Saccharomyces cerevisiae S288C: one gene and its partners. Changing the gene in region 4 together with the main gene of any one other region gives a genetic interaction. Each region holds a gene or a part of one and is shown on either strand. Other genes may lie near its edges.

Region 1 (2,836 bases), on a different chromosome or scaffold from region 4:
ACACCAACAATGGTGGAGAAATAACGAAGTTTCTGCTTGACCACATGTCGTTAAAGGATATTGATCAAGCTGAAACGTTTGGCCAAGATTTGTTGAATTTAGGGTTTTTGAAATATTGCAACGGTGTTGGTAATACATTTGTCAACTCTAAAAAATTTCAATACCAATGGAAGAATACCGCGTACATGTTTGCCAATGTGCCAATGCCCGGTTCAGAGGAGCCTACCACTGGTGAATCCTTAATATCCCGGTTCAACAACTGGGATGGTTCATCTGCAAAGGAAATTATTCAATCCAAGATTGGTAACGACCAGGGGGCAGCGAAGATCCAAGCTCCGCATATATCCGATAATGAAAGGACGCTTTTCAGAATGATGGATGCGCTTGCAGCGTCAGATAAGAAGTATTACCAGGAGTGCTTCAAGATGGATGCCTTGAGATGCTCGGTTGAGGAGTTGTTGATTGACCATTTGTCGTTTATGGAAAAATGTGAGTCCGATAGACTGAATGCGATCAAGAAAGCGACACTAGATTTTTGTTCTACCTTGGGTAACAAGATTTCTTCGTTAAGACTGTGCATAGATAAAATGCTCACGCTAGAAAACGATATTGATCCCACTGCAGACCTTTTGCAACTTTTAGTTAAGTACAAGACGGGCAGTTTCAAGCCGCAAGCCATTGTTTATAATAATTACTACAATCCTGGTTCATTTCAAAACTTTGGTGTTGATCTAGAAACTCGTTGTAGACTAGACAAGAAAGTCGTTCCGTTGATAATTTCTTCGATATTCTCATATATGGACAAAATATATCCTGACTTACCTAATGATAAAGTAAGAACTTCAATTTGGACTGATTCGGTGAAATTAAGTTTAACACATCAGCTTCGAAACCTATTGAACAAACAACAGTTCCACAACGAAGGGGAAATATTTGATATACTTTCTACGTCCAAGTTGGAGCCAAGCACCATCGCCAGTGTTGTTAAAATTTATTTATTAGAATTACCAGACCCACTAATTCCCAATGATGTCTCTGATATTCTTCGGGTGCTTTACCTTGACTATCCACCTTTAGTTGAAACTGCGTTGCAAAATTCTACATCATCTCCCGAGAATCAGCAGGACGATGACAACGAAGAAGGCTTTGATACCAAGAGAATAAGAGGCCTTTATACTACTCTGTCCTCTCTAAGCAAACCACACATAGCGACACTAGACGCTATTACAACTCATTTTTACAGATTAATTAAAATTCTGAAAATGGGAGAGAACGGTAATGAAGTAGCAGATGAGTTTACCGTCTCAATTTCACAAGAATTTGCCAATTGTATTATCCAGTCAAAGATCACCGATGATAATGAAATTGGTTTTAAGATTTTCTATGATCTACTGACACATAAGAAACAGATTTTTCACGAATTGAAAAGGCAAAATTCAAAAAATTAGGACTAGGCGATATAGATTTGTATATAATTTTATATAAAAGGAAATATGTACATCATTTTCTTTCACTGTAGGCAGCTGTTTCAAGTTCTTTTTTTATTGGAGATATAATTATTTACATTATTGTTATAGAGGACACACGAAAAAGCAAGAAGGGAACTATAAGAAAAATAAAAAATAATGAAGAATACAGATCTGTAATTAGTCATTTCAAGTGAGCGTAATAAGTAAAGTAAGGTAGAACGGAATAAAATGCTCAAGCGTATTGTTGGATTGCCTGCAAGGCGTTGCTTTCATAGAACGTCCTTTTTGCTGGGCAGTGACTTTGAAACTGTGCATATTCCCAATACGAACCACTTTAAAGATTTACTTATAGAGAACGGTAAATTTCAAGAGGATCAAGCAACTACAATAGTAGAGATAATGACAGATGCAATTAGGGGCGGGGTTAATCATGTTTCACAGGATCTGGCAAAGAGAGAAAAATTGACCCAACTTAGCTATCAACAACGTGTTGATTTTGCAAAGTTAAGAGATCAGCTATTGAGTGCTGATAGAAGTGAATTTCACAATATTCAAAACGAGTACGAAAGTGTGAAAAACGATCTGGAGAAACTAAGAAACAAACTAAGGGAAGAAATTACCAAAACAAACGCCGGTTTCAAACTTGATCTGTCCTTAGAAAAAGGCAGAATTAGGGAAGAAAGTAGTCATCACGATCTGCAAATAAAAGAAATCGACACCAAAATTGAGCAAGAAGTGACCAATATGAAGATGCAGATTGATTCTGTCAAGACTCAAGTCATGCAATGGCTGATAGGTGTCTGTACAGGTACATTTGCACTTGTATTAGCATATATGAGGTTATTAACATAGTGGCGACAAGCGAGGAAAAAGGGCTAGACTTGGTACTTGAAAATTGCATTTACGTTTTGTATAACACAGTTCAGTAAGAGTACACATTCAATAACGTAGTAAGAGTATATTTATTTATATAAGAAGGATAAAAAAGAATCACCAAACGGATCACAAATGGCATAATCACGTAGCAACCTGGAAATAAAGCTATAAGTTGAATAGTTCAGTCAAAATTTTGACGGTGTCATCAGGGGATTGTACTGAATGTCCGATGGTTCTTTCATCGACAAAAATTTCGTAATCGTTACCACCGACCATAGTCTTGTCACCAAAGAAATGAATTTCCTTGAAACCATCTTTTTCAACGTGTTGCAAACAGTAGGTCTTATCCCAACCAGCGGGGAAAACGTCGAAAGAGATTTGGCCACCAATGGAGAAAGTCAAACCGTAGTCTGGGAATTCCTTTTTCAAAGCTTCAACGAACTTGGCTCTGATTTGGTGTTCCTTATCGTATCTTTCGAATTCGTTTCTTT
Region 2 (3,738 bases), on a different chromosome or scaffold from region 4:
AAAGACGTCGAGATGAATATGGACAGTACGAATAAACTCATTCAAAAAATATCGAATTTCGACCAATTGCTTATACTTCCACCTGTCAGAGACGCTGTGAAAGAAATCATTTCCAAAGAGTCCCTGAAGCTACAAGATAGTAGGAAAAAAACCAGTGAAAATATAATACCGAGTCCCATTCAAACAGTGGCCATTAAGAGAATATCCAAAAATTTAATGGATCCAAAGTTACAAATACATGCGATTGCCGCTGAGACAGGTTCAGGTAAGACCATGGCCTACTTGATACCTTTAATAGACTATTTGAAAAGACAGGAGTTGGAAACTCCCGAATTATGGGAAACATTAAGAAAAAACGTTCTGATTCGGTCCATCATACTGGTGCCTACGCATGAATTGGTTGACCAAGTATACGAAACTGTTTCCAAGACGAAAACCTTGTTAGGCTTAAACTCTTTCAAGTGGGACAAGGCCACATCATATCGTGATTTATTAGAGAACATTAAAAATAGAATAGATATTTTAGTCACTACTCCGGGAAAACTACTGAACCTGTTCTCCATAAGAATGATAACTAGACCTGATAAAGTCTTGTCCAAAGTGGGTTTCGTAGTACTAGATGAAGCTGACACACTTCTAGATAGGTCATGGCTTGAAGAAACGCACTCCGCAATAAAGAGAATTCCTAACATTAATCACCTTATTTTCTGTTCCGCTACTATTCCTCAAGAGTTTAATAAAACAATGCAAAGACTATTTCCTACAGTGGTTCCTATAATGACACCCAGACTGCATAAGTTACCATTCGCTTTGGACTTTAAAGTTATAAATTCTGCCTTAAGTCCTTTCAAGGGATCCAAGATCAAAGCATTGGCACAAACTTTATATGCTATTTCAAATGATGACACGGAACCAGGGTTCGAGAAAAGATGCATTATCTTTGTTAACGAAAAAAAGAATGTTCCTGAAATTGTTAACCTATTGAATAAGAAATTCGGTCATAATGCCATCGGTTTAACTGGTGAAGATACATTTGAAGAAAGATCCGAGAAAATTATGCCCTTTTTATCACCACCGCGACCACTTTCGGAGGTGGTTGCTCAGAGTACTTCACCTCCCACTTCCTTGAAGAAATTTGAAATTCCTGATTCCAACATCGTCATCGGCAAATTGAAAAACACAAATTCTAATGGTACCGCACCCAGTAACAAGTCTTTGCATGTACTCGTAACCACCGACCTCATGGCAAGAGGGCTCAATTTCAAAGGTGTACGGAATGTTGTTCTCTACGATGTACCCAAAACGTCAATAGACCTGATACACCGAGTGGGCAGAACTGCTAGAATGAAACAGGGCGGCCGCGTATTTATGCTAACTGACAGTAAAACAAAATCTTGGGCTAAAGCTCTTCCAAAGATCATCAAAAAGCACCAGAGATTATCATGATAAATGTATATTCTTGTAAATATTATAACATATATACGAAAGGGTCACAATCACAGATACAATTTATAGATCGAGAGCCTTGCGTATAGCTTCTTTTTTTATAAACAAGTGCCTGGCTAGATGAACGCGCGAACAACAAAATAAATGATGTATTCATTTTAACATCAAAAGATTACGTTCGCCATTTAAGAAGTCACGAAATAGATACAGTAGTAAAGACAGATAAAAAAGAGTCGATTAGACAAGCAAAAATGATTGAAAAGGATAAAAGAACGATTGCTTTTATTCATCCAGACCTAGGTATTGGGGGCGCTGAAAGGTTAGTCGTCGATGCAGCATTAGGTCTACAGCAACAAGGACATAGTGTAATCATCTATACTAGTCACTGTGATAAATCACATTGTTTCGAAGAAGTTAAAAACGGCCAATTAAAAGTCGAAGTTTATGGTGATTTTTTACCGACAAACTTTTTGGGTCGTTTTTTTATTGTTTTCGCAACAATTAGACAGCTTTATTTAGTTATTCAATTGATCCTACAGAAAAAAGTGAATGCGTACCAATTAATTATCATTGATCAACTGTCTACATGTATTCCGCTTCTGCATATCTTTAGTTCTGCCACTTTGATGTTTTATTGTCATTTCCCCGACCAATTATTGGCTCAAAGAGCTGGGCTATTGAAGAAAATATACAGACTACCATTTGACTTAATAGAACAGTTTTCCGTGAGTGCTGCCGATACTGTTGTGGTAAATTCAAATTTCACTAAGAATACGTTCCACCAAACGTTCAAGTATTTATCCAATGATCCAGACGTCATTTATCCATGCGTGGATTTATCAACAATCGAAATTGAAGATATTGACAAGAAATTTTTCAAAACAGTGTTTAACGAAGGCGATAGATTTTACCTAAGTATAAATCGTTTTGAGAAAAAAAAGGATGTTGCGCTGGCTATAAAGGCTTTTGCGTTATCTGAAGATCAAATCAATGACAACGTTAAGTTAGTTATTTGCGGTGGTTATGACGAGAGGGTTGCAGAAAATGTGGAGTACTTGAAGGAACTACAGTCTCTGGCCGATGAATACGAATTATCCCATACAACCATATACTACCAAGAAATAAAGCGCGTCTCCGATTTAGAGTCATTCAAAACCAATAATAGTAAAATTATATTTTTAACTTCCATTTCATCATCTCTGAAAGAATTACTGCTCGAAAGAACCGAAATGTTATTGTATACACCAGCATATGAGCACTTTGGTATTGTTCCTTTAGAAGCCATGAAATTAGGTAAGCCTGTACTAGCAGTAAACAATGGAGGTCCTTTGGAGACTATCAAATCTTACGTTGCTGGTGAAAATGAAAGTTCTGCCACTGGGTGGCTAAAACCTGCCGTCCCTATTCAATGGGCTACTGCAATTGATGAAAGCAGAAAGATCTTGCAGAACGGTTCTGTGAACTTTGAGAGGAATGGCCCGCTAAGAGTCAAGAAATACTTTTCTAGGGAAGCAATGACTCAGTCATTTGAAGAAAACGTCGAGAAAGTCATATGGAAAGAAAAAAAGTATTATCCTTGGGAAATATTCGGTATTTCATTCTCTAATTTTATTTTGCATATGGCATTTATAAAAATTCTACCCAATAATCCATGGCCCTTCCTATTTATGGCCACTTTTATGGTATTATATTTTAAGAACTACTTATGGGGAATTTACTGGGCATTTGTATTCGCTCTCTCCTACCCTTATGAAGAAATATAATGTCTACTTAAATAAATAATGTATACCCCCCGAAGAAAAAATAATTTACATTGGAGAAGAAATCTCTAAATGCAAATAGCGTAACTTGTCCACAAACATAGACGTGTACATGTTACTTCGGCGAATAATTTTTTATTACTCACTTCGTGAACATGCTGGATAACGTGCATGATTCAATTAATTTATTCTGCCATTGTAGGGGTTCACAGAATTTCCAATACCTACTTCAATTCTCCCGTTATTGCCAGAGACATTAATACCGGTAGATACACCTTGCCCGGAGCCATTGACGCTGTTGACACTAGGGGGAGATTGGATACTATTTACGCTAGTATTGGGAGAGCTTATGGAGGCTTTCATCGTCATGAGGTTATTGTTACCGTTTTTACTACTATTATTGTTGTGGGTGCCAGATAAATGGCTATCTTGATTTGATTCTTGCATTAATTTGGTAGCGTTGGCTAAATATGAAGCAGCAGCTTCAAACTTCTGTTGTTGTAGTTGTTGTTGTCGTAGTTTTTGTTGTTGT
Region 3 (3,861 bases), on a different chromosome or scaffold from region 4:
TTCTGGTAGTGTACAGACCATTTTATTACACAGTTGTTTCTGATTATTCTTCAAAAGTTTTTGGATTTGACACATTTGGTACTGTTTATGGGTTATTGTCCTGCATTTGTGGTATTTTCAACATGAGTCAAAACTTACTGGACAAATGGACACATACTACTTTCAACATGAATCCATTCCCAATAAACCTTACACTGGTAATCCTCACAGTCGTTTTTTCACTAACTTTAACATTTTACATACGATCTCAGATTTTGCCCAAGCCCGTGAATGAAAGAGGATTGTCCTCCAACTACCAAACTATCTGAGTGCACACTTTCAAGCTAACACGCACTTTATTTATATTTAAATGACATAAAGTTATATATCTAGAAAGTTTATTTATCGTTCTCAGTACCATCCTCATCCTAGTATGTATAGCTTGTACCCATTAAAAGAATTTTATCATGCCGCCGAAAGGAACAATTTCAAGTACTATCGGAAGATGAATGGTTAGATGTTAAGCGCTGTCACTTCAAACTTCACATTTATAAAGATGTCACATGGACCACTATTATCTACCTTAAGTTATTTATCAAGATAAGTTTCCGGATCTTTTTCTTTCCTAACACCCCAGTCAGCCTGAGTTACATCCAGCCATTGAACCTTAGAAAATCTTTTGTCATTAGCGGTTTGAGCCCTAAGATCAACATCTTGCTTAGTAATCACTGCAATGGCGTCATAACCACCAGCACCAGGTATTAAGCAAGTAAGAACTCCTTTTAAGGTCTGGCAATCATCCAATAAGCTAGTTTGTACGGGAGGTTCGATATCGGCACCAGATTCTTTAGTTATTTTTCTAAAGGAACGTCTAATTGTGGCAACTGCATCTCTAACTTCTGTGATTTCAGGATACTTTTGACAGGTACAGTCATTCCTCTCAAGAGACTCAAATATCTGATCGCTGTAATCGTCATGAGTCTCGTGTAAGCGATCTAGTTTAGATAGTCCATCCATAAATCTAGAATTTGCATGATCGAGTTCTGTATATATTTTCAAGCTTTCTGGCATATGCGAATCATACCAATTTTTTACCTTCTGGACCAGTTTTACTGTTTCTGAACCATTCTTAATATCGCCCATCCATAAAGTTAATCCCGAAGGTAAATGGTTACTTTTAATCGTAATATTCCAGTCTTCTTCATCAACCAAATGCGCCAGTTTACTGCCGTAAGTAGCACTTCCAATATCTGGCAAATTAGAGATTAATGCGGGTGGGAATCTTCTATATCTGATAGATCCATATGCTGCCGCCGCTACATCAAACCCGCTTCCAATTTTACCCTGAGCTTGACAATGAGCAACTTGTGCTAAATTATGAATAACTTCTCTATATTTGTCTACATTATTTTCCAGGTCCGATACAAAAAAGGAGGCCAAAGCTGTAGTTAAAACTGTGACTAAACCTGCCGAGGAGCCCAGCCCTGTTTTGGGAACTTCTTCAATTCTGTGCGAATGAAAACTCAATCTTCTGTTGCCACGATGTTCGGTAACGCTATCCTCCTGAGAATGGTAGGCATCATCAGAGAAAATATCAATAACGAACAAGTTTCTATTGCAGTAGTCGTCCATGTTAGGTTTAAAGTAGCTAAATACGTTAGCGATAACTTTTTCAATGAAAGGGTTCTTAGATCCGCCTATCGAAACAGGAATGAAGCCACTTTTAGGACTTATATGGTACAGCCACTCCCCATCTTTAAATTGTTTACTTTTCACACGCACTTCAAACTTATCAGACCCTTGCAATGAACCGTAAGGATGGGCTACAGCATGCATTCTTGCCGATAATCCGACTACAAATGCTTCATATTTTGTATCTAAAACTAAATATCCACCAGCTAGTAACGCTTTCCCTGGGGCACTGAAGGCTCTCAACTCTGACATTTCTCGAGGCAGCCGATTGATTTATTATGAGGCCTTCCAAGATGTTTTTTCACCTTTTTTGTTTTTCCATTCTTTATATAATCTTTCTTTCCATTCGACATGACGTTAACTCCGCCTTAAAACCGAACTTTTTTCCTTTTAGATCTCGTATAGAAAAACGCATCGCAATAATTATTACTATCTACATATTCCTGTATACAATTTGATTATTTGTCAACACTTGGATGCGTATTCTGTCCACGGCTTTTTGGCTCGTGCCCCCTACGCCTTTTAGTATTTGATGCGGCAGAACTGCCTTCTGTGATTTTTCTTTTCCGTCTTCTGCTGTTGTAGTTTCTTTTACGGCTTTTCTTTTTTGCTTTAGTTTTGTCCTTTTCGCGGTTTGTTTCCTCATCATTATTATTTTCTGGAGAACTTTTATCATTGATTAGTTCCATACTTGGTTTCTGTTCTTCAAGTACAGATTTTGAAGGCATTTCCTCCTGTTCTTCTTTAACTTCTACTTTAACAGGTATATCCACTGCTTGATGTTCGGGCTCCTCACCTTCATTTACTTTGATGTTAATGGAATTATCGTGTGGCTCATTATCAACATCGTGGCTAGATAAATGTTCTGATCTATCATCCAAAACGGATGTTACATTGGTTTTATCGTGTTTCTCAAGCGTGGTGGCGGGAATTTCATCATTAATTTCCATAGGGACTTCATTTGGCGTGTCTGAGAATATTTCATACACTTCCGGTGATGTTGGCGCACTCTTTTCAGCGGTAATATTTTCCGAATTTGAATAGGGATAAGAATCTGTCACTTCTTCCTTATCAGACGGAGGATCAGATGGAAGATCTGTGGACGGTATATTTCCGCGTTGCCTTTCATCATCATTCATTTTACTAGAAGCTGCTGTCTCTGTAGGGCCCTCTATTTCCAATTCGTACAACTCAGCTTCTTCTGGCTCTGAATTTAGTTCTTCTATTGACCTCTCCTGATTGTTTGATAGGTCCAGGTCTTCTTCATGTTCGGGGTGTTGAATGCTAATATCTAACTCCGAAAAAGTGTCTTCTTCAATTGCTCCAGCATATTTCTCATTAACGGACTTTTCAAACGTGAGATCCCGTTCACGGCTTGTATTAACTTCGTCTGATTCTTCTTGATTTTTTCCTCTCCTGGAATCTTCAATGAGCCTCTGAGAATAATTCTCTAGGTCACTTAGATTCTTTAGGAGTTGTTGTCTCTTAATATCATCGGGGGCATTACTGTGAATATTTGCTGATGTTATATCTCCATATATGGTATCAAATTCTTCTTCATTCTCGCTGTGGTCTTTCTTTTCGAAATGTTGCTCGGATTGTAAACCTTCAACTAGCGGCTCTTCCGACTTATGCAAATTTTCCTTGTCCTTTACTTGCTGTCGAAACACTTCGGAGTCCTCTTCATAAGCACCGTTTGTCGTGGGATCGATGTTTATCACACGAGAATTATTACCATTGTCATTATGTGCTTCTGCGGTAACTCCTCCGAGTATGACAGCTTCATCTTCATCGCTGTCTCTCTCTTTGCTACTTACACTTTTCATATTAACAGATGCATCGGTAGAATTCGACTTGTTAAAAATGTCTTGATTATAATCACCAATATCAACGTTATCATCACTCTCAGAATCCATAACATCAATTTTTTTCACGAATGATTCAGCTACGTCGACTACCTTACCCACTCCCTTAACTACAGCTCCAATAACACGAATTGGGGATGAAAAAATATTTGATCGATCAGATTCTGGCTTCAATGGTTCCACAGACTCAATTTCCGAACTGGACACCCGAATGTCCAAATTATGTTTTGCAGATCCCTCAACATTTTTTTCAGCTGTGGAGTCTTGGTCTCGGTCTGAATCAGAGCAAGCTTGGCTAACCTGATCATGCATATTGGTATTATTT
Region 4 (3,941 bases):
CCGGCACCAATCATGGATGAACCAGTAATGAAAATACCCCATGCTGCCCCCACGACACTTAAGCCTACACAAAGGGCAATACCAAGATTGGCCCACATATAAGGGGATGTCCTTAACAAGAACTTCCCGAAATTAATGTCGGATCCATGTCCAGTGAAAAGCTTGTACAAACCGTACACTATTACTACTATTAGCACCAAGTAATATAGGAAGTGGGAGAAGGAAAACTTCCCCAAGGACATATCATCATCTTTAGATTCCTTGTTCATTATCTTACACGCTCTAGCTCCTGTATTTTATTCGCCTTCCGGTGAGAAAAAAAACACCTGTGGATATTACGTTGAATGATACTTGTGGCTAAATCAATCAACTGGCCTTGGCTATGAGTCTTTTGAATTGAGACTGAAAACAACTTCGATTCATTATCTGTATTGTTAATGGTTGTGAAATTTCGTTCTTTTCACTTATTTTTTATTTTCGAAATAGATAGAAAAGACGGGTAACGGAAGAAGACTCAGCATAATAACCGTTAACGGTCAATTACAGTATGTATATGGTCTACAATAGTATTTAACACAGTATACTAGGGGTAAAGGACATTTCATTGCTGTTCGACGCTAGCACCATCGTAGGCAGGCTCCAGTAGTTTCCAGGAGCACTTGATGCCGTTTTTGGCGAACCTGTTGATAATTTCTTGAGAGATTTCTTCGAAATTCTCAGTGGCCAAAGCCAAGATAGTTGGGCCTGCACCTGACAAGCAGATACCCAATAGGCCAGGGTATGTGGATGGGGTGACACATGATAAGATTTCCGTGAGACCTGGGATCAATGTCTTTCTATAAGGTTGGTGGACACGATCTTGCATAGCAGGGTAGATTAAGTCGGCATTAGGTGGGTCCATGGTCAAAGCTGTGGTCAAGACGGCCAATCTTTGTAGATTGAAAACCAAGTCCTGGGTTGGGTAGGCTTTTGGAAGAACGCCTCTGGAGTCGGCGGTGGACAACTCGAACTGTGGGATGATCGCAATACATTTAATGGCGGGGTTCCATTGGTATTTGACATGTCTACCGATATCGGTGGGAGGTAATGGGGGAACCAGACCGGTATCTTCACCACCAGAAGGTTCTGGAAGCACCTCAGCCAATGGAATCTCACGTCTTTCCACCTCTTGTGGGGTCAAGTCCCTTAGGAATGAACCGCAAAAGCCTCCCATCATAGCAGCGGTTATGTTGTCTGGATGACGTTCAATCATCAAACAGTAGTCCAACATACGTTGCTTAGAGAAACCCAATTGGGCCACTTCGTTACCTAAAATAACACCTGCCACAACTGCTGCACCAGAGGAACCCAATCCACGGCCAAGTGGGATTGGGTTGGAGACGTGAACTTTGGTTCCGGAGGGGAAGTTTCTAATATTGTTGCAACGCAACACATATAACGCAGTCCTGGTAATCAGGTTAGCATCAGAACGCAATGGGACCGTAGAATAGCCTTCACTTTCTTTAGTGTAAGACAGCTTGCAGTTGTTGGGATCGTCGTTTGTTTCCTGAGCTTGGCTGGAGTCGATGGTGACATCTAACTCCAAGAATAGAGAAAGACCGACACCAAGAACATCATAACCAGGGCCGATATTGGCGGAAGAAGCTGGAACTTTAATTTTGAAGGCACGAACCATTTTCTGTAGTCCGTATATCTACTTTATGCTACTGTTATAACCATTAGGCAGGTTAGAAGTACACTTGTTTTTATCACCATATCTTTTCGAGATGATGACTCTTGCACAAATTTTTCATCCGGCGTGAGGGCGTATCGAGAATGAACAATTCAGGTGAAAAAGCCTACACAGGTGGACTAGAAGAAAGGTGTTTCAGGGCAGGTGGTCAAATTAATGCAAAGCAGAGAGCTGATTAATAACAAAAGATGCTAAGGAACGGCGTTCAGAGGTTGTACTCTAACATCGCTAGAACCGATAATTTTAAGCTTTCGTCACTAGCGAATGGACTGAAAGTGGCGACATCAAATACTCCTGGACACTTTAGTGCCTTAGGCCTATACATCGACGCAGGATCACGGTTTGAAGGTAGGAATTTGAAGGGTTGTACACATATCTTGGATAGACTAGCATTCAAATCAACCGAACACGTCGAGGGCCGAGCAATGGCAGAGACGTTGGAGTTACTGGGTGGGAATTACCAGTGTACCTCGTCTAGAGAAAATTTGATGTATCAGGCTTCTGTGTTCAACCAGGATGTGGGTAAAATGCTTCAATTAATGTCAGAAACTGTGAGGTTCCCTAAGATTACTGAGCAAGAACTGCAAGAACAGAAGCTGTCGGCAGAGTATGAAATCGATGAAGTTTGGATGAAGCCAGAATTGGTATTACCTGAGCTGTTGCACACAGCAGCATACTCCGGAGAAACTTTGGGGTCCCCTTTAATCTGCCCTAGAGAGCTCATTCCTTCTATTTCTAAATACTACTTATTGGACTACAGAAATAAATTCTACACCCCAGAAAATACTGTTGCGGCATTTGTTGGTGTTCCTCACGAAAAGGCATTAGAGCTTACAGAAAAGTATCTCGGTGACTGGCAATCTACACACCCTCCGATCACCAAAAAAGTTGCCCAATATACGGGCGGGGAAAGTTGTATTCCACCAGCACCAGTGTTTGGGAATTTACCAGAATTATTCCACATCCAGATCGGATTTGAAGGTCTCCCTATAGATCATCCAGACATTTATGCTTTAGCAACATTACAAACTTTACTTGGAGGTGGTGGTTCTTTCAGTGCTGGTGGGCCAGGAAAGGGGATGTATTCTCGTTTGTATACCCACGTTTTGAACCAGTATTACTTTGTTGAAAATTGTGTTGCGTTCAACCATTCTTATTCGGATTCTGGTATTTTCGGTATTTCATTATCTTGTATACCGCAGGCAGCTCCTCAAGCGGTTGAGGTAATTGCACAGCAAATGTATAATACATTTGCTAATAAGGATTTGAGGTTAACTGAAGACGAAGTCTCCAGGGCCAAGAATCAGTTGAAGTCTTCACTACTAATGAACCTAGAGTCTAAACTGGTAGAATTGGAAGATATGGGCAGACAAGTTCTCATGCATGGTCGCAAAATCCCAGTCAACGAAATGATAAGTAAGATCGAAGATTTGAAGCCAGATGATATCTCACGTGTTGCCGAAATGATATTTACGGGAAATGTAAATAATGCTGGCAATGGTAAGGGTAGAGCTACTGTTGTAATGCAAGGAGACAGAGGATCCTTTGGAGATGTGGAAAATGTACTGAAGGCATATGGATTGGGTAACAGCTCCTCCTCCAAAAACGATAGTCCCAAGAAGAAGGGTTGGTTTTGAACAACTTTAGCAGTACTTTATTACTTTTATTTTGGAGATTTCAAGATAGGAAAAAGACTTTATTTCCGCTGCTTATCTATTGAATCGGTTATTTTCTTTATTTTATGTACCACCTTTAAGACTACTATCGAAGGATACGGGGTGAAAGAGTTCATGCCACTTAGTATATAACGCTCGTGTCGTCTTTTTCTGTTAATAATGCATATTCTCATTCTGTATATACAAAACATCTCATCATTATTTTTTTAAATAAAGGATATAAAGTCTTCCAAATTTTTAAAAAAAAGTTCGTTAACTGAAAATTTTACTCTGTGCATTGTTACTATCAATATTTTTCGAGCCTATCATGGTAGATTCATAACGGCTTTTCCAGAATTCAATTTCTTGGGCCATTTCCTGCACTTTGTCGCGGTAAGAAGAATTATCTCTAATGGATTTTTTCATCTCAAGCTCTTGTTGAGAAATGTACTTTTCTAAGTCAGAGATTTGAGCCTCATATTTCAAAGTAGCTTCCTCAAATTCGCTTCTATTTTTATTCGCTAGTTCTATTACATCTGTTTGTTGGGAGTTCT

The links.
Region 1: mutations in MAS2 (region 4) and FMP32 together harm fitness more than expected from each alone (negative genetic interaction), as found in Saccharomyces cerevisiae (one large-scale study listed by BioGRID).
Region 2: mutations in MAS2 (region 4) and ALG2 together harm fitness more than expected from each alone (negative genetic interaction), as found in Saccharomyces cerevisiae (one large-scale study listed by BioGRID).
Region 3: mutations in MAS2 (region 4) and ERG8 together harm fitness more than expected from each alone (negative genetic interaction), as found in Saccharomyces cerevisiae (one large-scale study listed by BioGRID).

Annotation. Positions count from the first base shown.
Region 1 is NC_001138.5:41,118-43,953, forward strand, and holds FMP32 (Fmp32p), read left to right. Parts: upstream 1-1,697; coding exon 1,698-2,321; downstream 2,322-2,836. Other genes in the region: GTPase-activating protein RGD2, read left to right, coding at 1-1,448; phosphomannomutase SEC53, read right to left, coding at 2,511-2,836.
Region 2 is NC_001139.9:379,231-382,968, reverse strand, and holds ALG2 (GDP-Man:Man(1)GlcNAc(2)-PP-dolichol alpha-1,3-mannosyltransferase), read left to right. Parts: upstream 1-1,697; coding exon 1,698-3,209; downstream 3,210-3,738. Other genes in the region: MRH4 (ATP-dependent RNA helicase), read left to right, coding at 1-1,446; deubiquitination module subunit SGF73, read right to left, coding at 3,387-3,738. UniProt on the Saccharomyces cerevisiae protein: Mannosylates Man(2)GlcNAc(2)-dolichol diphosphate and Man(1)GlcNAc(2)-dolichol diphosphate to form Man(3)GlcNAc(2)-dolichol diphosphate.
Region 3 is NC_001145.3:710,378-714,238, reverse strand, and holds ERG8 (phosphomevalonate kinase), read right to left. Parts: upstream 1,924-3,861; coding exon 568-1,923; downstream 1-567. Other genes in the region: FMP42 (Fmp42p), read left to right, coding at 1-308; ESC1 (Esc1p), read right to left, coding at 2,130-3,861.
Region 4 is NC_001140.6:157,172-161,112, reverse strand, and holds MAS2 (mitochondrial-processing protease subunit alpha), read left to right. Parts: upstream 1-1,920; coding exon 1,921-3,369; downstream 3,370-3,941. Other genes in the region: VMA16 (H(+)-transporting V0 sector ATPase subunit c''), read right to left, coding at 1-269; THR1 (homoserine kinase), read right to left, coding at 602-1,675; MYO1 (myosin 1), read right to left, coding at 3,661-3,941.